Diceros bicornis minor: one gene and its partners. The protein of the gene in region 1 interacts with the protein of each later gene in a pairwise test. Links are inferred from orthologs where the notes say so. Each region holds a gene or a part of one and is shown in the gene's direction. Other genes may lie near its edges. The genes, in order: PRKN, RGS2 and SYT11.

The links.
Region 2: the proteins of PRKN (region 1) and RGS2 interact in binary tests that used the Homo sapiens proteins (3 or more experiments, as listed by UniProt). The link is inferred for Diceros bicornis minor from reciprocal best matches to the Homo sapiens genes PRKN and RGS2.
Region 3: the proteins of PRKN (region 1) and SYT11 interact in binary tests that used the Homo sapiens proteins (3 or more experiments, as listed by UniProt). The link is inferred for Diceros bicornis minor from reciprocal best matches to the Homo sapiens genes PRKN and SYT11.

Annotation. Positions count from the first base shown.
Region 1 is NC_080778.1:7,909,964-7,918,079, forward strand, and holds the start of PRKN (E3 ubiquitin-protein ligase parkin), read left to right. Parts: upstream 1-2,570; 5' UTR 2,571-2,664; coding exon 2,665-2,671; intron 2,672-8,116. Other genes in the region: PACRG (parkin coregulated gene protein), read right to left, coding at 1,945-2,100. UniProt on the Homo sapiens protein: Functions within a multiprotein E3 ubiquitin ligase complex, catalyzing the covalent attachment of ubiquitin moieties onto substrate proteins. Substrates include SYT11 and VDAC1.
Region 2 is NC_080777.1:22,250,559-22,258,674, forward strand, and holds RGS2 (regulator of G-protein signaling 2), read left to right. Parts: upstream 1-4,237; 5' UTR 4,238-4,258; coding exon 4,259-4,368; intron 4,369-5,477; coding exon 5,478-5,579; intron 5,580-5,683; coding exon 5,684-5,745; intron 5,746-6,319; coding exon 6,320-6,486; intron 6,487-6,769; coding exon 6,770-6,964; 3' UTR 6,965-7,685; downstream 7,686-8,116. UniProt on the Homo sapiens protein: Regulates G protein-coupled receptor signaling cascades. Inhibits signal transduction by increasing the GTPase activity of G protein alpha subunits, thereby driving them into their inactive GDP-bound form.
Region 3 is NC_080743.1:59,533,384-59,541,499, forward strand, and holds the start of SYT11 (synaptotagmin-11), read left to right. Parts: upstream 1-3,756; 5' UTR 3,757-3,978; coding exon 3,979-4,012; intron 4,013-8,116. Other genes in the region: GON4L (GON-4-like protein), read right to left, coding at 1-151, 485-587. UniProt on the Homo sapiens protein: Synaptotagmin family member involved in vesicular and membrane trafficking which does not bind Ca(2+). Inhibits clathrin-mediated and bulk endocytosis, functions to ensure precision in vesicle retrieval.

The DNA of each region.
Region 1 (8,116 bases):
GCCGAAAGGTTTATACGGTTGAAGACAGAAACAGTGAAATGTAAATACTGGGTATGAAAATGAAAGGTTTTATTTCCTGTACCACTGAAGTTAGTTTGCATAAACAGTACTGTTTATCTCTCTTTCGTCAATACTTTAGTGTTGTTGTTGGCGGTGGTTTTCCTTGGAGTATTAAGGGCAGGAACTCTATTTTGCTGGTCCCAAACCCCAAAGTTGTGCTTAGCAAGTTCTTAGTTTAGATTAAAAAAAAAAAAGGTGTTGTTGATTGAATGAATGAGGGGACGAGTAATGTTTGTCTCTAACAATTATGATTTCCACTAAATGAAGTGAAAGAATGACATCCTATTTTGAGGATCCCAGTGGAGACATAGATATTACACTACAGGATTTTCCTTAAAAATATGGCAATAAGAAGATAATTTATCTCAAATAAGTTGTTTAAAAAGAAGGCTGCTTCATAATCAACGGTTTTTTGAGTCCTGTAAGCATATTTGTTACACTCGGCAATACTGAAATACTTGATTTTCCAGAATTATGATTTTAAGTATAAGGCTATGTTTTAAAAAAAATAAACATGATTATGAACATGAGTTTAAAAAAAAAGAGGAAGAATGTGACCAATTTTTTTACGTCTTTGAAAAAGTATAACATTGAAAAAAATCACTAAAATTATAATTATAAACTCTGTTTAGAAGAAAAGCAAATAATTAGCTTTAAGGTTATGATACATTGTATTGCTGATAAATGAGTCGTCTTGGCTCTCATGACCACCTATTCACGTGAAATACAGGGAGAAAGACTGCAGTTACAACAAGCAGAAGTTTTACTCTATTTCCAAAAATTTTAACTACTGTAAATCAACTGACACATTCCAACAACCAGAATATCATTTTGTGTAGCAACATGGGAATCTGGCCTAGTGGTCTAGAAGTAATATGTTTCATTCATGTGTTTTAAGGATGTGGTTTAGAAAGAAGGTATTAGGTTTACAACATTTACGTAAAACAAATAACGTGACACTGGAAAGCAACATTATTCATTTAACATAATGAGTTGCTATACAATAAGTCAGATCCTCCCAGAGTGTAAATTACACAAATTTGAAAGCTGTATTTATTATTTAATACCTCATTCCCAGACAGCTGCTTACCCCGTGGTAAAACTTGGTTTAGCATACCAAATTTAAAGCTGTTTTTTTTCCTATACCTATCGTGCATGTAGCTAAACTATTTGTGTGCAATTTAAACCTTTTTCCCCCAACGGTATTGATAATATTTTCTTTTTACTACCACAAAAAATAGAAATGAAATACGAATTGTAGTAACAGAGATACTTGAAGTGAAGCTTGGCTTGTTTAAAATTAGCAGTTTAAAAGGTCTATCTGGAAATAGACTTCATATTCAGGTGTCTTTCAGTACTCTAACCTGCTGTTTTCTTTTTGTGAGAAACAGTGCCCTTAGAGTAAATGCTAGGATATTCTAAAATTTCCTAGGCTGAATTAATGAGATTTCCTATTGTAGATTATTTAATATTTATGTTTCCAGCTGTACATCAGCACATGTAAAATTTTACAAGAGAATTTAGGATTTCTAAGAACTCACTTTCAATGAGGCTTTTTGCTGACTGGGCTAGTTTAGGAATCAACAAGCAAAGTGGATCTTTCTTCTTTGTGTAAATAGTTTAAGAGTGATGTGCGGTGGTCTAGAAACCATGAGTTATTAGGAAGGTGCTTATAAATGGGTATAGTACATCACTTGTCCAAGATCCTTTCTAACAACCTATCCTGGACCTCCACACTCTGTTGGGCACCATCTGCTACTGGCTGAATAATTGCCATTTTTGGCAAAGACCACCCAGGACATGGGCTCCGAATCCATCCTAGGGCCAGCCAGCCTCTACAATCTGATTCGGAGCGAGTGCATTCAGTTTAGAAAGATCACTTACGACTGAGTTTTTCATCATGGCTTTGACTGTGAAGCCCTCAGAAACCCGGGAGTGAGGCTGGTGCACCGGCAGCGGCTGTTGTGCCAGCAGCTTGGTCCTCTTCGGCATCTTGTCTAGGCATTTGTTTAAGCTCAAGGTCTCTTTTTCTGCCACCATCTTCCTAGAAAATGTCTTGTTCTCATAAAACGTGTAGTAAAAGAGTCAGTGGGTTTTACGGATGTGAGAAGGAGGTCGGGAAAAAATGTAAAAAGGCGCGTTAATGGTAGAACTTCAACCCCCTCGTAGTGCCCAGGTTGATCCAGATGTTTGGCAGCTCCTAGGTGAAGGGAGTTGAGGGGAGGGGAGGGGCGGGAAGAGGGCTGGACCGTGGCTTGAGCTGCAACAAGCTTCTAAAGGTTAGCCTCCCGGTTGCTAAGCGACGCGTCAACACGGCGGCCGAATGGTCCCGCCCCCCGTGACGTACGTTTCCTGGGCCTCAGTCCCGACGGGCGGCAGGCGGCGGGAGGCGGGCGGGGGTGAGGAGAAACTACGCATTAAAACTACGACTCCCAGAAAGCCCCGGGCTGCGCGCCGTTCGCGCTTGCGCATTCCTACGGCTGGGCACAGGGAGGGGAGTCTTGGACGATTTAACCCCGGAGCGCCGCTGGTGGAAGGCGCGGGTGGGCTTCGGTGCCCTGGTAGTCCTCGCCCTGTCCGGCAGCCTCCACCTGCCCAGTGACCATGATCGGTACGTGGGTGCCTGCCAGGTACAGCCTCTCTGCGCCGTCCCGCGCCCAGCCGTGGCGCCACGCCGGGCCTCGGCCGACGGGGACCCCAGGGTGCCTGCCAGTGCCAACTGTCAAGGGCAGGGCGGCAGCGTCCGCGCCGTCCTCTGCCCGCGCCGGCGGCTTCCCAGTGCCCGCCCAGTGTGTGTTCTAAGCCCCCACCCCGCCCCTGCTGTGACAAGCTTCCCACTGAAGACAACCTGGCGAGGGACCCTGGGGTGCTCCTCCCCAGGTGGACGCTGGGTTCCACTATCCCACGGCGAGTGCACTGCTCAGTCAGACCTGTGGGGGTCCGTGGGAAGGCCTTCCTGTCCGCCCCCATTTCCATCCCTCAGGGAGACTTGGTCGGTGTCTTCCAGTTTAGGACAGATTGGGACCCACTGTCTGTAGGATTCTTTAAGGGAGACCCTAGCGAAGCATTGACTCTAATGGAAGGTACCTGGTGATGATGGTTGTCATCAAAAGAAATTCCTGCAGGTGGATTTAAACTTCTTGCTCCCTGCGATTTTTTCTTTTAAATCTCTCATTGAAGGTCTGAGATGAACGATTAAGAGTAAATCATAGCAAGGGTTAAACCTTTTGCATAGTGAATCATTAATTCACTATGCAAAAGTTTTTTTTTTTTTTTTTTTTTTTCCAAACACAAAATAACCTAGGTGCATTTTTGTGAATAAAGCTTTGGAAGTGGCTACTAGAATTGTTTATAAGCACTGTGATGTATAAGATTAGCAAAGTTCCTCTCTTCCAGGGTTGTTAAACCAAAAGTTATTTTAGGGATTATCTCTGAAAATTAGTGGAAATGCACAATATGATTAGAAAACATTGCTAGTTTGGAGTTTATTATGACAGAGACTTGTTTTAGATTATGCATTGAAGATTTAGTGAGTTTATTTTAGGATTATTCTTGACAGGCGCCACTTACAAAACACTTTTGATTGCAGCGAGTGCATCTGAAGTCAGATGTGGTTTGTCCAGAAAGATGAGAGGTGGATTTTTAAAATATGTAAGTTTGTATGCACTGATAAACTCTTCTTAAATCTTTTATTTATGAAAATAATGTTAAAATGTAAAACATTCTACCTGTAACTAGGAGAATCATGCCAGTTAACTGACACTGTCTTTGCGGCAATGATAAAACCTAAAGATGTCCAACTTTTCTTACCTTTCTAGCCTGGTATAACTTTTGGTGAATGACTTTTGAAAGCTGTCAAATTAATAAAAATGTGTAAATATTTAGGAATCTTTTGAACCTTTTTAGGTGGCAGTTACACAAGATCCACTTGTAAACACAAATCTGATCTGAATCAGAAAACCAAGTAGAAGTTTTTCAAAATCCATACTATCACTATTTTATAGGAAAAAATAGTCTATACCTTATTTTAAAGACAATTGCACAAATTTTAATTCAACTTAATGTAATGCATGAATAATTTTAAAAGAAACATTTATGGTAAAGCTATATAAAGAAGACAGGAACTTAAAGATCTAAAAATCAGGGGCCGGCCCCGTGGCATAGCGGTTAAGTGTACGCGCTTTGCTGCTGGCGACTCGGGTTCAGATCCCGGGTGCGCACCGACGCACCGCTTGTCAGGCCATGCTGTGGCGGCGTCCCATATAAAGCGAAGGAAGATGGGCACGGATGTTAGCCCAGGGCCAGTCTTCCTCGGCAAAATGAGGAGGATTGGCAGATGTTAGCTCAGGGCTGCTCTTCCCCCCACACACACAATAAATAAAGAAAGAAATATTTAAGAAAAAAAAAATCTAAAAATCATCATAATTCTAAATTCTAATAAATGATTATATGAATAACTTTATTAGGAGGAAATATGTTTAGGCAGTTTAGTTTTTATTTGGGATTTAGGGCCACAAGAAGGAAGAGTACGGTGTGGTTGATTAGACGATGTCTAGTAATGACATGGAGAATATGAGGTGGATTTAAAAGGCATTCTTTCCCATACTCCAGCTGTTGTTTTACATAGTGCAGATAAATGTGTGTTACAACATAAATAATTAAATCCATGCCCCTTCCCAGGACAAGTACCTTCCATATAAAACCATGTGGACAGTGTGCAATACATTATTTTATACAACTAGTTGCATTGCCCAATTCTGTTGGTGGGCATATTTTAATAAAAATATTAACTGCCAGTTTTGGACTTGGTTGTGTTGAATAATGGTAAAGGTTAGTGAAAGTGGAAGCAAGTGAAGGGACATCTTAGAGGGATGGGTTTCCTGTTTCCGCAACTAAACTTTAGAGCCAAGAAAGATGTGATAGTCTCTGCGCAGTGATAAGCTGGAGAACAAATACACATGTATCTGGGGATAGTTTTTTCTGCTAAAGACATGCGTGCTACTCATACTTGCCCCTTTCATGCCTGTGCTCTCTTTAATTGCTACACCCTCGTTAATGCAAATAGTACTCTTCTACTTTATTTGAATCTTCCATCACTTTTGAGGAAAAACAAAAATGGGTTTCTCAGTGGAATAGGAGTAAAGGAGATTGACTATTACCTCACTACCAATAAAATTACCTTCCTTTTACTTTCTTAAAACCCGGGATTCCTTCTTGGCACGGAGACTGTTTCCAAAGTACTTACATTCCCCACTTGGATTATGATTGATATGTTAAATGCCCTGACCCAGACAGCTACAGAAACATAATCTAATTGAAGTCGATGAAAAACTATAACTTTGTGAGAAGTGTGGAGAAGGACTTGAGGATAATGTAAAGCAAAATAGAAAAGCTTAAGAAAATTCAACTTAGAAAAATGTAATTTTGGACACCTCTATTAAAATTTATTTCACCCTTTTTTAAAATTAGCAATTCTTTGTATTTAAAATTGAATTTTAGTAGTGATATTTGAGGTATATTCTAAATGTCCTGCAGAACTGGATTCAGGTATTTGAGTAGTATCAGATATTAAAGTGCATGGATATTTATACAACAATGTTGCCAATATTGAAATTCAAATTCAATGTCTTATTCTTTAAAAAGGTTTGTGATTGAGTTAAAAAAAAAAACAATAATTAGAACATAGTCTGTTTTGTACGTCGTTTAACTTAACATCTCTTAGAAAACTCGTATATCTGCATGTACAGATCCACCTCACAGTAATTCCCGCCTAGTGTTTTATTTTCTGGATATACACAAATTATGCAAATACTCTTCAATAAATGAGCGTTTAGTAGGTTTACAGACAATTGCTATCATCAGGTATGTTTGTGTCCGTATCATTTTATTTGAATGTTTAAGTATATATGTAAAGTAAAAATCTTATTACAGTTTCTGGGTGGATTTTTTAGTCAAAGGGTTTGTAGATTTTGAATTTTACTAGGTATTTCCAAATTGTTCTCAAATAAGTTGCCCTATTTTATACTCCTGTCTACCACAACAAGGTAGCAAAGAGCTGCCCTCTCTCTGTGGGCTGAAAAATTACAAAAAGACATCCCTCCCAGGACTGACTCAGCTTTCACCAGCAGAGCACCTGCTGGGTTTCCCCTCTCCCCCTCTGCCTCACCCTAGGTTTAGTGCCTCTGAGCAGTGCACAAACTGCACAAAGTGTGTTGTCCTTGTTGGCTCTGCCCTTCCTGACAGTGTTTATAAGAGTGCCCATTTCCCCCTTGTGTACCATAAACTATTTTTACTTTTGCCTTTCTGATAGATGAAAAGCAGTATATTTTAATTTTTAAAATGAACTTATGAAGAAAAAACCTGCCACTTTTCATTTGATAATGCTTTATTTTCACAAAAGCATATCTAATAATTGAGCACCTACTATGTGCCCAGTGCTGCTCCAGGTGCCAGGGATACACTAGTGAATAAAACAGAAAAAGATGCCCTGCCATCAGGAATGTACAGTCTAAGTTTACTCTTTGCCCACAAATCTGCATATTTGTTTTAAAGCTCGTATGTGGTGAATGTTAAGGTCTCAGAATTTATATTTCTAGTTGAATGTACTGTGTACTGCTACTTTCCCTTCTATTTCAATAATTTGAGATGAAGAGTGACCCTGCGTCTGAGTACCCGGGGTAGGCTCTAAAAGCTTCTGTTGATGATGAGATACAGTTGTGCCACAAAGAAGTTCTACTAAATTTTGGCATAGAACATTTCATGTAATTATGTACAGTTCTTCTTTGGGTCCAAAAGCTCTAAAATGATGACCTTATGCCCTTTTCAGTTTTGGAACTATTTCTAAGGATTTTTTTTTTTTGAAGTCTGCATTTTTTTGAAACCTCATAGCTTCATTGCTTGAAAATGATACAGTGAAAGTACTTTGTATTAAGATATGCAAATGCATTTCTACCTCCAAAGCTTCTTTGAAAAATGCAAAAAAAAAAGTTCTCTCTACTTTGAAATGCTTCATATTCATGAAAGCAGTTACAGTGTAGAATACTTGATTCTGTTAGCTTTTAGATCTTTGATCAATGGAAATTGTTTCCTACCTGCTGTTTCTTCAGCCTTTAATTGTGGCCCAGTGCTTATTCAGTGTTTCTGTTTTAATTTGCATTTAATGAGCTCATTTTAAATGTTTCTTTGTAGTAATCTGAATGGTTTCTCTCTTAAGTTTTGTAATATTAAAGAAAGATTTATGTGACAGCCGGCTGCTTTATGTTGCAGCTCACCTTCCTGGCTTGTTTATTTCACCCTATAGGAGAACATCGTACTGCAATTCCTTTTAACCCAGATTACTATTTCCCCCACTCCTATGTGTCCTCATGAACTAGGACTTTCACCAGGCCAGTTCAAATATCTGTTTTCACTAAATAGAAAACTTTCTTCCTTGGATTAATAGGTATTTCAATTCACAATAATGATTTCAGTGTTAGTTCGTTCTAAGGTACTGGATCAGGTGTTGCTGGCCGGGGGGTGTATATATGGCCTGTGGGAAAGGGACACAAAGAAATATGAGAGACCATTTGTCCCCGAGGAGTCTGTGATCTAGTTGGACTGATAAGACACGTATTTGGGGTAAGGATTCCACCCTTTCTCCAACAGAAGCAGAGTAGTTAGAAAGATATGTGTAGATAGAAACTCACACACACACGATTTTTCATGTTGTTCTCTCGGCTTTGAATGCCCTTCCTCTCCATAGTACATCTGGAAACTACTGCTCATCCTTCAAATGACACCAGCTTTATATGAAGTTTTCCTTAAGATCTCCACCTGTGTCACCTCTCACACTTCTCTATCTGAAGCAATTAGTTCCTCCTTTAGAATCAACCCAGATTTTAGCAACTACTATTTGTCAGGTGCTTGCTCGTAGTGTAGAAGGTGTACAGAAAAATAAAGGTTTGAAATCCTTAATGGTAAGTACCATGATACAGGTTTATACAGGGAAGCCCTGGAGAGGGCAGCTAACAGAGACTGGTGGATCCACTCTTTCTAGAGGAGCCATTTGAGTTGCCCT
Region 2 (8,116 bases), on another chromosome or scaffold:
CAGGAAAGAAATTCCTAGTTTTCCCTCTGCACTTTATAGACAATATGCCATCTAGGTAACTTATGTTATAAGAAAGTATTTATGATCGCCTACTCTCCCTGAGGTTCTGTGTACCCCACTGTCACAGAAGATGGCAGGCACAGGCACACACTGGAAACAGTCCCCTAACTTAGAGCTCATGCTATTGGTCCTTTAACTACAGAAACATATTAGAGGTATTTCAATATACATTAGCATTTTTTATTCGGAAAAAAACCTTTGTGATGCTCCTGTTGTTGGTTCCCAAAGAGAATCCAGATACTTTAGGAAGGAGGGGGTTATTAAATTCATCTGCATCTGAAGTACAACATACTCCACACCATGGATGAATTGAAGGCAGAACCATGGAAGTACTCTAACCGGAATTACCAATCCAAGGACTGGTAAAATTATGAACTCCTCTATCGTACATGTCAAGTATTAGGTTGAAACTCTGATTCATTCCTGACAAAACACTAACTTTCTTTTTTATCAGCTTCTGTGTATGCAAATTACATTCTAAGAAAGACAGTAATTGTAATTTTTAAATCTCAGATCACATTGGGGTGAAAAGTGGAGTACAGAATCTTATGGGGTCATACGTTCAATCTCTTAAAAGAGAATTTCACCAACTAAAGTTCAATGAGAGAGAGAAAGGTGGAAGGAAGGAAGGAAAAGACAGGTGTCACTTCCTCAAATATGGTCAACAATTAGGGTACTAAAAGTTTTCATTTTTTCCAATTACTCATCACACCCTTTGCCACATGGTGTTTAATTTCCTAGTTTTTTTCCCCTTTTTTTCAACTTACTACCCATGTAAGATTTCATGAGGTAAGCAACAGGTTTACAGCTTTTACAAATTCAGGAACTAAAACATCTTACTGACCAAAAAAAGCAAGGCACGGAGTAATACACAGGATGATCCTTTTGTGTTTTTTTAAAGCATGTATCTTGTTTCCTAAATTTCTAAAGTATAGCTGAAAGTTATGTATAAATATTTTTAGCTAATAATAACTAATAATTTTTGGTTAATAATAGCACACAGTTGGAGGGGAAGAGAGAAGTACGGCAAGGGAGACTTTCGCTTTTCATATTCCCCCTTTGAAATTGCTAGAAACTTGTATTTTTCTGTTTGCCTTCTTCAGTAACTTAAAATTATTTTAAATACAAAAAGTTCAAGAACCACACTAAGAACCTCCACCACTAACCTGTTCAGAGAGCCTCTCCAGTAGAGGGCATGGGAGATTCAACATGGAAAATGTATGGTTCGCTTATCAAGCCACTCTCCAGCTGTGACTTTGCTGTGCAATATTTACAACCCATTGCATTGTTTCTTCCTCCACCACGGAATGGAAAATATGTGTCATCTTAATATTGAGCAATCCCATTTACCTAAAAGCCAGTCGCAACAAAAAAACAAAGAGAAGTCATCAAACAGTAGCTCGCCTTTCAATATATGTCTGCCTGTCTTTATAAAAGACAGTAACGTGGCAACTTTTTGATGAAAAGATTTCTTAGTCTATAGGTGATATTGCCTTAACTCTTAACATTACCCATAGATACAGAAATGATAAATTTACATCCAGATTTATCAACCTCATAATTTTAAGGAAAAAATTAATTTTCTGCCACTTAACATCAGATGTTAATTGGAAATGGTTTAGGAAAAAAGCAAATAATGACATTAAATTTACAAAAACATCTAGAATAGTCTACATTTAAACCAGTTGCTTACATAGATTCATGTATATTCACTTTTGTGAATATACTGAGATGACTGAACTTTGCTGGCTTGGAGATGTCTGGAAAGTTTAAATGTCAAACAGTTTGCTTATTTTCCTTACGGGCTTATTATCCAGAGAGCATTTAGTAAGTATCTATTAAGAGCTTGATACTCTACAAATCTCTTGACATTATCTTGATATTTTATTTTTTTTATTTTTTGTGAGGAAGATCAGCCCTGAGCTAACATCCATGCTAATCCTCCTCTTTTTGCTGAGGAAGACCGGCTCTGAGCTAATATCTATTGCCAATCCTCCTCCCTTTTTTTTTCCCCCCAAAGCCCCTAGATGTATGTCATAGCTGCACATCCTTCTAGTTGCCGTATGTGGGACGCGGTCTCAGCATGGCCACAGAAGCCGTGCGTCGGTGTACGCCCAGGATCCGAACCCGGGCCGCCAGCAGTGGAGCTCGAGCACTTAACCGCTAAGCCACAGGGCTGGCCCTATCTTGATATTTTAATAGTACCTACAGATTCATAACCTAATTAACTCAGAGTTAATCCTTTAATGATTTTTCTATCTGTAATAGCTATGCTTCCAGATATTTCCTTTTTCACACATATGCAAATTAATAATAATAAACTTTGTATTGTACTTTAGAATTTACCAAGGCCTTTCAGGTAAGATTCACATAATATCTAAGGAGGTTGGCAAGAAAGATGCATTACTCTCAATACAGATGAGAAAAGGGCTCAAGAAGGTGTGATGGGGCAGTTCCAACAGTTACCTAGTAATTACTGGTTAAGCTCAGACTATAATTAGGTCTCCTAACAGAAACCCAGCTCTCTCTCCCTGCTGCTTTTGTCAGAACTCCTGGCCTTTCCAGAATGAGCGAATTCTACCATTCAAGGTTTTAAGTGGAAAATACGACTGAGATTTACATTTGCAAGGAAAAGCAAGTGTCTGCATATTACACATATTTAATAAATAAGTACTGAATCATCAGAAAGTGAAAATAGATATAGGAAATATTATGCAAACTTCTTTTAGAGATGAGCATAAGCTTGAGAAGGATGACATTCTTACATTTCCCACAAAGTATTTATGACTGAAATCGAAATGATTTTCCTTTCTATAATAAGGTACATGGCTGTTCTCTTTAGTAATAATTGCAAATTTTACCCTCCAAGTCAAACTTGGAGCTCCAACTACTGGCAGCTCACCATAAGAATATGTTAAACTAGTTCCAATTTTCTTTTAACAGTTCGATGCAAAGTAGAAGAAGATTTGCAGCCCAGTCAATACCTTGCTGTTAATCTTACTGTCCACTTAGATGCCTGATGGGAAAACCACTTGAATATTCCAATCCCCAGTTTTAATAATGTTATCTGAAATCAAACCATTTTGTAGTTGAGGTTATCTATTTGTCCTTACCTATCAAACCATTTAAAGCCCCCTACAGTTGAGAGGATTTCTGAAGAGCTAACAAATTAAACTTACGCAAGCAAACTGTTAACTTCTCACCTCCCCCCTTTTGCCAGTTAAGAGTTCTGGTAAATTCTAAGCCAACCAAGAATGACTCATGAGGAAATCCTACATCCTTGCGCTCTTAACACTAGAACGATTCCGGTGCCTTACAGCTGCGAGGTCTCGGTGTTTCCCTCTATCTCGTAAGGAGATATGTGATTTCTATTCTGGAAGGACTCCTGAGGACTAAGCCTGCAACCTCACGGACAGACCCAGCCACGTGTCTATCGGTGATCAAAAACGCACACCGTTAAAGCACTGTCGTCTGACAAAGTCACTTTCCCCTGGTCCTTCCCTGACTCATGTTCATTACCCAAAAGTGTCCCCAGATGCCCAGGCAAGCTGCAGAGGAGGTCACACCGTGTGCCCTTGGACCAGCACTGTTCCTCCCGTTCACCGTTTCCTTCCCCAAACTAAATGGAGTCGCAGAGGGGAACAGGTGCGGGGGGGGGGTCCCCCAGTTTACAGACCCAGAAAGGAGGCGTGAGGAGAAGGCGCGCGCTCCAAACACCAGGGGCAAGTCTTAACTCAAAGTAAGGTGATTGCACTCTGGTTCGCAACCAGCAACCTGCCCTGCGGGGAGTCATCACTTTCTGGGGTCGGGAGCACGTGAGCGTGGGGGGGGGGGGGGGAAGGAGGCGAGGAGGGCGAGCGCCACCGACTTCGGCTCCTCCCTGGGCGGGAGGGACCGGCCGCCCCGCCTGGGAGAGATCGCCCGCGGCGACTCACAGTGAAACCTCCGTCCGCTCCGAGTGCGCACGACACCGGGTCCACAGACGTCAGCAGCGCCCTCGCTCTGAGACGCTGCGGCGGCGCCCGGGACCGCACAGGCCGGCGCTGCCCCGCCCCCAGGCCCGGCTGCAGCCGGCCAATCGGCGCCCTCTGGAGGCGGGACCGGCGACGTGAGGCCCCGCCCCCGCGCCTCCGCCTCTTATAAAGGCGGCGGCGCGCGCCCTGCTGCAGACCCCGGCGGCGCAAGTGGTTAGAGTAGCATGCGAAGTGCCATGTTCTTGGCTGTCCAGCACGACTGTGGCCCCATGGATAAGAGTGCAGGCAGCGGCCCCAAGAGCGAGGAGAAGCGGGAGAAAATGAAGCGGACTCTGTGAGTACGGCTTTGTTCTCTCTCCCGCCCCCCGCTGCCGACGTGGCTCCCCGGGCGGGCTGCAATCGCGGTGCATTCGCGCTCGGCTTGGACATAGAGAACTATGTAGCCTGCGCCTCTGCAGGAAAAAAAAAAAAGTGTAAAAGGTTAATTTGCTCCGTAAGGTTGTTTGTGTGGTATATACTTATTTTGTTACGTGAGCGAGGGACTCTCGGGTAGTTTAGGAGCTGAAGAAAATTCTTGATAGGGAGGCGGTAGTAGATGCGCTAAGAAATTACGGGCTGGCTTTTTGTCCCCCTGCATTGAAATGACATCAGAGAATCCTGCGGCTGAAGGGCGTCCCCGGCCTTTGTGCGTTGAATGATAAGTTCTGATCAGCTTACACAGCTGCTAGGATGGAGATATTTTTGCTAGTTCTGAATATATTCCTTTTGAATCCATTTTTATTTTTTACTTGAAAAGCAGATCTCGCACACTCACGGCTGTGGAACAAATTGTTCTGCATCAGCTGCTTAAAATGAGGGTTGTAGTTGGCGAGGGTGGAGGCAGTCATACACACACACACACACACACACACGCGCGCGCGCGCGCACAGACACACACACACACACACACACACACACACACACACAGACACAACATTGTACACAGCTTCTGGCGTGGTCCAGAGCCTCCTGCTCCAAGGGTAGAGGTAAATGAGCGTGGGCGGGCTCAAGGCAGTTCCACTGTGGTTTCATCAAGTGTGAAATGTCTCAGAATTGTAATTAAGTGGCAGAAAAACTGCTGCCTTTTGTGAGCCAGAAATAGCATCTGCCTTTTGAACTATGTAATCTAAATTCATTAAAATACCCTAGTAATTTTAGGTATTTCTGCCCTTAGTTACAAAACTAGTAATTATGTTCAGATGAAGGGATGAAACTGATTATGTTCAGTACATAGGTGCTGGGTTTAAATGTTAGATGAGTAAGACTGACTTGAAGAGTTGGTGTTTTGTCTTATTTAGTTTGTGTGCAGCTACTGGGTGACTTTATTTGGTAAAAATGCCTTTGGCTGCAGTAGCGACTTCAAGTGTTGCCACTTAGTGAATATCTTTTGTTTTTTTTTTTTAGATTAAAAGATTGGAAGACCCGTTTGAGCTACTTCTTGCAAAATTCCTCCTCTCCTGGGAAGCCCAAAACTGGCAAGAAAAGCAAGCAGCAAACCTTCATCAAGTAAGTTGAAAATCTTGTAGTTGCAAATATGAATAGCTGGCCTGCTGAGCTGAAAAGAGAAAGTGGATGTGCATAAGCTAATGTGCAGAACCTCTCCCTTGCAGGCCTTCTCCTGAGGAAGCACAGCTGTGGTCTGAAGCATTTGATGAGCTGCTAGCCAGCAAATGTAAGTTACTCGCTTGAATTGGATCCATTTCAAGTATCACAAGAGTCTAGAAAGGTTGTGTCCACATCACAGAAAAGCAGCTTGCCCAAGGGGAATTCTAATTTACAATCACTATAACATAAGGCCTATTTTTATCCTTTATTTCCCAGTGTTAAATCATGGAAATACATAGTTTATTCACTCCTGTGGGAAAGAAAACTTAGCCTAAAAAAATTATAGTAGCAATTGCTCTTTGTTAAGGTTGGGTTAGCTTTTCCATTGCATACACTATTGTCAAGAGGCTTCGTTCCCAGAGAACTTGTGACTCCCCTATAAATATTTGCATTGACAGCAAAGTTAAGTATTTATATTTTTGTAGCAGTGTGCCAACTTGAAGGATTTTTCTTACTGGCACCGTAGTCTTTAAAGAGCTAAATTCCCAGGATTACAGGTTTGAGTGAAATCTAGAAAATCGCTGTCATCCAGAAACAATGAAATATGGAAGCAAGAGAATGGGAGTTCTAGAAAAAATAGGATTATTTGGTGACTCAGTTCTTCACATTCCGTATCCGTTCTCCCCCATCCCTTCTTCTAGATGGTCTTGCTGCATTCAGGGCTTTTTTGAAATCTGAATTCTGTGAAGAAAATATTGAATTCTGGCTGGCCTGTGAAGACTTCAAGAAAACTAAGTCACCCCAAAAGCTGTCCTCAAAAGCAAGGAAAATATATACTGACTTCATAGAGAAAGAAGCTCCAAAAGAGGTAAGGGAAAAAAAGTTTCCTCATTTCAGTGTATTTTGAACATTCTCTGCGCCAAAGTGAAGCACGAATTGAAGAGACAGCACATTAAAAGTGGGGCAGGGGTGGAGGGAAAAATGTCTTCCCCTCACCCTAGCTTTCAATTAAGTTCATTTTCTTCAGTGACTTGGCTGGTGACACCAATTGTGCATTATAGTTTTTGTTAGTTTTTTTGTTTTCAAATATTAAATAGATTTCAGTCTCTAACTCTGAATATGGAATAAACCACTTTTTTGTTTTATTGCAGATAAACATAGACTTTCAAACCAAAACTCTAATTGCCCAAAATATACAAGAGGCGACAAGCAGCTGCTTTACAACCGCCCAGAAAAGGGTATACAGCTTGATGGAGAACAACTCTTACCCTCGTTTCTTGGAGTCAGAATTCTACCAGGACTTGTGTAAAAAGCCACAGATCACCACAGAGCCCCATGCTACATGAGATGGAAGACCATGAGATGGACCCCAAAAGTGGAGGACATTTCATTTTTTTCCTAAGGGGAAAGGCTGTGTGACCTGCCAAAAAGACTGACCTTGAATTCACCCTGGGTGTTCAGGAGACATCGCTCAGAACTATTGATTCAAAGTTGGGTAGTCAATCAGGAAGCTGGTAGCCTTCTAGAAGGGGCTTGTATCAGGATGGCATCCATAACTGTGTAGAGCACAGGGAGAGTGGTCTGAACGTGGCGTGTCTCACACTGGAAAAGCCAGAATGGGAGACCGGAAGATACGATGTAATGCTAGTGGTCCAAAAGCATTTAGAATCAGTAGACCTGGGATTATGTGGCCTTAGCTAGCTGGCTGTCCATCTTTCCCTGAATCAGTCCACGTTGCCACGTAGTGGTTTTAGTTTTAGTTTAGTACTAAGTAACATTAAAACGTTTACTGTGTGCAAGGGTATTGAAGTTCTTTTGCCTCCAGATCATGAGTACTGTTGTCTCATGTAACTCTAAACCTGAAATGGTCTGTGTTTGAATTGTTAAATGGTGTGTGTAATAGAATGAGTGCTGTCATGTAGAAAACTACAGTGTCCATGATGAGTGCCAAACTGTCCTGAAGGCAGCTACACTTTGAAGTGGTCTTGGAATATTTTTAATAAATTTATTTTGATAAATAAGGTCATTGAATATTTGGTCCAGATGTGAGTGGTTTTGGGGGGTTTTTGTTTTGTTTTGTTTTTCGGTAATCGGAAATATGGCCGATACGAGGGAAAACATCTCCTTTCTGGTGGAGAAGAGGCATCATAATTGATGAGCCTGTGTAGTGAGAATTGCCAGTCCTTGGAACTGGGAAATGATAGTTGCAGGGAACATATGTTCCTTTTGCTAGGATGCTTTTGTAGGTCAAAGGAGGTCATCATATCCTTAGAACCACCCTAGGATCAAGCTTTCTAATATGACCTTGTAAAAATCAAGCTTGTTAATGAAAACAGAAGAACATTGACCTAAAGCCCTTAATGAGTAGCTGTTACAGACTAGCTAAATATGAGAAGTAAAATTAGATAGTGGAGACAGCACCAAAATTATCACACAGCTTAGCTTCTCAGATGAAAAAAGCCCAATAAAGTGAACGTAGGCCTGTCTTTTTTATTTCC
Region 3 (8,116 bases), on another chromosome or scaffold:
AGGTCTTTAACCTGGTCAGATTCTGGTTTAACAGCTGACTCTAGGTCTAAGTCATCTTCCTCCTGGCTGCCCTGATGTTCTGGGGACTCAGTCACTGTAGATCTTCTTTTCTTACAGGGCAACATTTTAAAAGTCCCACTTTTGTGCCATTCTGAAAAGATAAAAGCAAGTTCTTATCACCTTTGTATTAATTAATGATAATAACATTTCCTCAAATACCTTTTCACTTATTCATGTTCAATCATGAACACAGTACTTTACACCAAACGCACAATCTCCCATTAGGTGGGAGATGAGAGACAGTGGTTAGAGGGCCAAAGTTCAAATCCTATGTCTACTACTGATTAGTATGTTATCTTAGCTGAGTGACTTAACCTCTCTTAACTTCAGTTTCCTCAACTGTAAAAAATAATAATTGTTCTTATCTCATAGAGTTGTTATAAGAATTAAATAGTAAGTGATTAGTGTTAGCTATTATTATTACCATCAGGGAGGTAGAATAGCATGATGCTGAGAGCAAACTGTGGAGTCAAACTGTCTGGATTTGTTTCCCAAGTCAGCTTCTCTCCAGTTTTGTGACCTTGCATAAGTTACTTAACCTGAATCTCAGTTTCTTCAGCTATAAAATGAAATAAAAATAGCACCTATGTCATTAGATAATAATTTATTAGATCAATAAATGTTTGCTATTGTTGTTTTCATAAACAGGTATTTCCACTAACAGAAGCATTCAAAAAGGAAAGCGTGGTTGTTTAAGAAGGTTAGGCTATATTAACAAAAATTTTGCGTTGAAAAGAGAGATTCCTACTCTTCTCTATATTATGTTACTTCTGGACTCTTGGCTTCAATTCCAATCATCACATTTTAAGGGCTACACTAACCAAAACTGGAGGGTATCTTCTTTTATGTTCTTACCGCACCTGTTTGCAAACCTCTTTTATAGTACTTATCACTTTTGTGATTGCTTCTTGTCTGTCCTTCCTGTCTCCCTCTCCCTAAAACTATGTGCTTTTGAGGAAAAGGATTCTTTCAACTAGCACCCCTAGTACCCAGCAGTATCTGCCCTATTGTAGATACTCAATGAATGTTCCCTAAATAAATGAATGAATGAAAGCAAGAGAGTGTGAACTTCCTATTCTGTGCTTATTCTATGCAGCATTTGGACCAAGAGTTAAGCATTACATGGAAACTGACTGCATCTTTCTACCCAGAAAAACTTTACTCTCAATAAAATAGGTCCAAGAATAGAATAAGTTGCCTTGTGTTACAGCGAGTTCTTCATCACCGACAATGCTCACACAAAGTCTGAATGCCCACCTGTAAGAGCACTAGATGAAGGCTTGGACTAGTGGACTGCAAAATAAAGTTCTTTCTAACTCTAAGAGTCAGAACTATAAGGTTAGTTTTACACCTCCATAATTCAGTTTCTCCAGGACACTAGCAGAGATTCCTCCCCCGCCCCCAAAATCAACTGATGTCCTTATCTTGGTAATTAAAGCTCAATAAACACGTTAAGATTCCGCTGAGTGCTGTGAAGGAGGGTAGTGAGTGGGTAAGAAGTGGAGTAGCAGTAGTTTAGGCGAGTCCTATACTTCACCGATGAATTACTGACGTCCAAGAAAGAAAAAAAAAAGAAAGGCAGGCAGGCAGCTACTATTCAAACCCAGCAGCGTGCAGGGATGGGCTCCAGGCACTTCAAACTCAGCAGAAGCTCTAACCAGGCCCCCACTTTGGGAACTGGAGTCAGATCAACAGGGTGAATGAAGCGAATCCGGAGGCAGCCCCAGCGCGGGCCTCTCCTGGGAAAAGACTGCAAAAAGGGGTTCTAACTGGGCTTTTCACCTCGGCGCCGAGCGCTGGCCCAAGTCCCTACTCCCCAGCTAGACACCTTCACACCTCTACCTTCCGTCATGCACCCCGCGCCAGCGCTCAGACCCGACCCCCTCTGCCTGGACATCCTTCGCCCAGGCGTCCAGCGCCCACCTGCCTCTCCCGGCCCCATGGCACACAACCTAGTACCCTCACCAGCCAGCCCGATCCCGCGGAAACTCAGCTCCCGTATCACCGGAAGTCAGCCAACGGCAGCGGCTGACGTGCGCGCACCCGAGTCGCGGTGCGCGGCGTCAGGTCGTGCAGGAGCATGCGCCAACCACTAGGCGCCATCTTATTTTAGGGCGGAAGGAAGCCACAGAGCTAGTACATCAATTGTTGGCAAAAAAATTTAAAGGCAATACCTCGCTTTCCTCTGTCCATGGAGCTATCCTACTCAAAACAAAACTAGGGAGTGAGATTCAGAGGTTTAGTTTGACATCTAATCCTTCTCACCGCGAGACACCTGGAATACTGGACCAAGGAAATGGAGAATTCATAAAATTTCGGAAAGAGGAATCTCTGGGTTACAAATAGTGCAGTTTCGTGAATAAAGCTAAAGCAGTCTTGGACTCAATCAGTAGTAATTATTCATATCTGTATAATACTCTGCATTTTACAAAATGCTTTCACTTACGTTACCATATGTGATTTGATCTTCACAATAAACCCTATAGGACAATAGATATTATTATACCTTCCAATTTAAGCAGGACAAATTTCTGGCTCAGCTGGGTAGGTGATTTCACAAAGATACACAGCTATCAAGGGGAATCAGGTATCCTAACTCTAGCTTCTAATGCACTGATCCAGTGCCCAGGAAGGTGCCTGGGGCATAGTCAATATTCAAGACATGTGTTTTGAATGAATAAGTGACTCCTAGAACCATGTTCTTTCCACTTTTCTAGAAGAACAGAATGTCAAGGCTGGAAAAATACATTCAATTCTCTCATTTTACAGGTGAACCACCAACAAATATTTATGCATTTAGGTAATCTATTTGACCTGATCCTATCTGTAAACAGAATCCGATAGAATGAAAATGTCCACAGCCAAAATGAAGGGTGAAATTGATGTAATCATGGCGATAACCGCCAATATCCTGACTCTAACCTGAATCACCCTAACTCTCCCAAATGCCAAGGAAGTCTCGAGAAGCCTGGAGCTTCCTTTGCGTCCTGCTTTTGAACCTACAGAATACACAGATCTGTTGGTTTGCTGGCTCACTCGCTCTCTCTCTCTCCCTCACTCTCTCTCTCACTCTGTCCTAAGCCCTTGCAGTTTTGGAAGAGAAATATCCAACACTGATTAACTTTGGCACTCTTCATTAGTCTTTTTTTTTTTTTAAGAGCTTTAATTTACACACCACAAAATCCATCCGTTTTACTTGTACAATTAAATTATTTTCAGTAAATTTTCAGAGTTGTGCAACCATCACCAGGTTTGGTCTTTAATCAGAGCTTCTGAAGTTTAAGAAAGTTTGCATAATAACCTTTAGTGGTTTCAGAAATGCATTACATAATGACAATTGATACTGAAATGCAGGCAGTATAGAATTTTGTTTTTTCAAAATACTGGTTTCCCTCTCACCCAGAACATTCTGCTGCTATATTAAGCCCAGGGAACCAGAATCACAGGATCTGTAGTATCTCATATAAAACGCCTACATTCTCTTTACTCAGGCCTCCGGGTTTTCGCCTAACAGACCCACAGCCTGTCAGTGGGCGGGGTCTCATTCTCGGGAAACCTCGGCGATGGGAGGGGTCCCCTCCCTGAGATCTTCCGGAAAGGGGCGAGGCCTGCCTTCCGGAACTTTTCGGACAGAGGCGGAGACTTCTGCCGAGGGCCGTTCGGAGGAAGGCGGGGCCTACCTCGCATCAGGACCAGTCTAGCTGCACCTGCATCCTTAGCTCAGAGCATCCCTGGAGCATCTTAAGAGGCGACCGCAGCTGGCAACCAGGGACCAGACCGTCGCAGGAGGCGTCCGTCAGATACCTTCCCCCTCCCCTGACCTAGCGCTCTGCAGCGGCGGCCTCAGTACTGACCGGGGGTTCCCAGAGTTGTCCAACCATTGCAAAAGCATTTATAGCAATAGCCTCTGACTACGACATGGCTGAGATCACCAATATCCGACCTAGCTTTGGTAAGTAGAGTCGGGCAAACTAAGCCTGGGGTAGTCGAAACTGTTGCAAAGCCAAGGGAGCCCAGCGGCTGGGCAGGGAGTGAAGCCCAGACCATGGCCTTCAAGTGCCAGCCCCACTAGAATCGGGCCTGTGGTGGTGGGTAGCGGGCAGTGGCAGAGTCTGAACTTGAGCTATGGGCTGCGGGGGCTGGCAAGGCCAGAGCCACACCGCGGGTGGGGAGGTCCAGGGTGCTAAAACCTTGTATGGTGCACTGTCAGCACTGCTGGAGGTGAGAAACAGCGAGCTTGCGGAGGACGTGAACCCCTCCTTCTGGGGGAGGAGAGGTGCGGTAGGCCGAGGCCTCCCCCTTGGGGCACGCAGGGCGGTGCCCCTACCTCCCCCTCCCACTCCTTAGGGCTGCGGGGGAGGGAGGTGGCACGGGGGATGGGGCATCAAGATGGCAGCTTGGAGACTGTGGGCTGTGTGGCTGGCAGCCAGGGGAGGCGGCGGCCTCTGGGGAAAGAGAGGTGCGGGGGTGGGGAGCAAAAAGGAAGCCACTCCTTCAGCCAGTCAGCTGGATGCTGGGGCCGGAGGAAACGTGAGCCCTGCAAGTTCTATTCTGCATCGTAATGGTGGGGTCCGTCTGATGCTACCAAATGGCGCTTGGCGCTGCTGGGCTGGGGGATGACGTGATGTCTATTTCTGGGCCTCCTGGCAGCGCCTAGGCTCTTCTTCCCAGGCCTTTGTTCCCTGTTTCCCTGGGCTGGCTTTTCAAAAAGGGGGACTCACCCGCGCTGGAGCTGGCGGGGGCCCGAGCCAGACCGGAGGGGGAGGGGCGAGAGAGGCCGAGCCCGGGGGAGGCCGCTTTGTGTACCAGAGAAAGCATTACGTCACCTCGGAGCCGCTGGTCCCCGACCCAGCCCTGTGGGCTCCAAGATCAGTTACACTCCCTGGGGCAGAGTGGAGTGGAAAATAGGGAAGAAGATGGGAAAGAAAAGCTCGAGAAGCAAGTATTTTCCTCTTTGGGGATTCCTCCAGAATGTGCTAGGGTAACAAACTTCCTGTGCTATGATTCCCTCGTCCGAAAATAAAAAAAGAATTGCCCTGCTTCTCCCTCAATTCTACTCGTTTGGATGGGAGAAGCCACTGAGAGTTGCTGTCAGCCTAGGGTTCCTTCATATCCCTTAAGATTCTATCCCCCAGACAATCCAGGTTTGAGCATCCAGACTCCAGGGTTTAGGGTGGGGCTACAATCCAACTAGGAAATGGCTTTTCTCACTCCTGGAGTAAGAGGCTTATGGAAATGAGCAGAACCCAATGTGCTCTATCCCTTCTATATCAGGAAGAAGACATCAGATCAGGAAAGTATCCAGACAACAGATCACACCCACTAACTAATGTTCCCACTGATTCCCCAAGGCTGATTCTTGGTTGTATTTTTTTCTTCCACTTCACCTTCTGCATCTGTATTCCTTGAGTCCTGAATTTCCAAAAGAGATGGCCCTTTTGGGGCCACATGAGCACCTCATGGTTTTTTTTCCTGCTCTTTTTCTTCTTATGCCTTCTTTCCAACATGTTCTTTTCTCTAATCGCAGTTTTCGATTTCTTGGAAAGTTAGATGGTGTGGAGCATAATATAGCGATTTCCTTTAGAAGCTATATTTGGAAAAGAGAAAATAAACTATATCACCCTTTTACATACATTTTATTTAATCCTTACAAATACTCTCCGGTGTAGGCATTATAGTATGTGTTTGCCAGATGAGGAAACTGAGGCTCAGGGAGATAAAATAACTTGGCTAAAGTCAAACAAACTAGTGAGGGTAGTGCTAGGATTTAAACCAGTGTCCAGTTGATGCCAAAGTTCACTCTCATTTCACTGTATTGCACTGGCCTGCTTGACAGAGAAAGGCTATTATTGTAAAGGAAGTGTCAATAAGCAGATCTGGTCAGAGGCTGAGAGAGTTGAGCATAGCCCAGGTGTCTCTTGCAGGCCTTTAGACCCATACAGAGGGTCTCCTACAGAGAGAACTGCCACTTCTGATCTTTTTCACGTCTCATAGAATACTTCATTTCAAATGCCATAGCCCTTGGGAGATACACCAAGCCAACACTCAATTATCCGTGACCTTGGAGGACAAAAGGAGCAAGCAGCACGGGTCACTGCAATTTACAATTACTTTAAAACATTCACTTTAGCCATTAGTTCCAACTTCCTTTTCCCACCAAGCTTTTGACTAAAGCCAGACAGAGCGTTTTGAGTTTCAACATTTCTGATTTTTCTAGTTCAGTGCCTTGGGTGTCAGGGAGAGAGGCAGGGGTTAACACATACTAAAATGAAGAAGAAAGTAGGGCAAAAGTGGGCAACAAGATAGAGGAGAGCACTAGGTAATCCACAAATGGATTCATCTGTTTCTCTTCTTTTCCTTCTCTGTCCTTCTGAAAGATGAGAATCCTACATCTTCTCTCTTACCCACTCCACCTCTATTTTCTAACAGTAAAAGTTGAGGCATTGTCAGTAGCAGTGGGTTCTCTCAAGATCACCAAGTCTATGATAGAGCCAAAAGGATCACTCAGATATCTTCCAACCTGGGCCTTTAGATCTCCCTTTCAAATCATTCTTGAAAATATACCTGTCTTGGTAGTTCCCTGCTTTCCTCTTCTCATAGAGACAATCAATGCTCAGTTTCACTAATCACTAGCAAACAATTTTCAGGAAAGTCCCTGATTGGTGATGGAGAGGCACTTTATTAGATTTGTGCCCATTATAATTGACAATTGAATCCAATCAATTATTCAAACAAATATTTACTGAGCTCCTATTAGATACAAGAAACTTAGGGAAGATGAACAGGATGTTACTTCTGCCTATTCTCAAGGAGCTTACCACCAAAGCTGGCCCAATTTTATGAAACCTCTCCGTAACAACTCTTATTTCACTTAATACACTGAGAATAAACACTATTATTATTCAGTATGGCCATGGACATGGTCACTTTGATTTATTTTGTTAATGGCTTTACTCCTTATCTACGTTTTTTAAAAAGGCAACCCCTTCTTTTCTTACCTGGTCCCAACTTTCATAGAACTATGGAAATGTTTGAGGCAGAAAGACCTTTAGAGACATTTAGTCCAATCCCCATTGAAGAAATCCTTTCAGAATATGCCTGATCCAACCTGTTTGAAAGTTTTCAATTGGAGATTCATTGCCTGATGAAGCAATCCAGGCAAGTGTGCGGCAGTTCTAATGATAATTTGACTCTTTTCATTGAGTCAAAATCTGTCTTCCTGTAGCCTATACGTACTGATGCTAGACCTGCCCTCCAAAGTAAAATCAAATCAGAACTTCTTCCATCAAAACGCCTTCAGTAATTGAAGAAATGTATTATTCCTAGACCCCTCAGCTCCAGTTCCTTCAATTTTTCTTCATTTGATATGGTTTCCAGGTCTTTTACTGTCCTGATTACCTGTAATGTAGAGACATTCTGGTGTCAGGCAGACCAGAGTTTAAAACCCATTACTGCCATTTGCTCCTATGTGGCCTAGGACAGATTTGAGTCCCCAGGTTCCTCAGTTGTAAAGTGGGGATATTAATGGTACCCATTCACTGAGTTCTTTGATTCAGAGAGAAAAAGCTCTAGCACAATGCCTGGCAGGAACATAATAAATGTACATAAAAAAATCGCAGTTTTTATTCTTGTCAGTGCTAGACAGAACACTCCATGTGCAATGTGACCAGTGCAGATGAAATTATACCATCCTTCCTGTGATCTGGACGTTGTACTCATAGTATAAATAGGCATTAGCCTGGGGGGCCAGCCCTGTGGCTTAGTGGTTAAGTGCACGTATTTTGCTACTGGCAGCCCGGGTTCGGATCCCCGGCACGCACCGACGCACCGCTTCTCGGGCCATGCTGAGGCAGCATCCCACATAAGAGCAAGTAGAAGGATGTGCAACTATGACATACAAGTATCTACTGGGGCTTTGGGGAGAAAAAGGGAAAAAAAGGAGGAAGATTGGCAATAGATGTTAGCTCAGGGCCAGTCTTCCTCAGCAAAAAGAGAAGGATTAGCATGGATGTTAGCTCAGGGCTGATCTTCCTCACAAAAAAAAAAAAAAATAGAC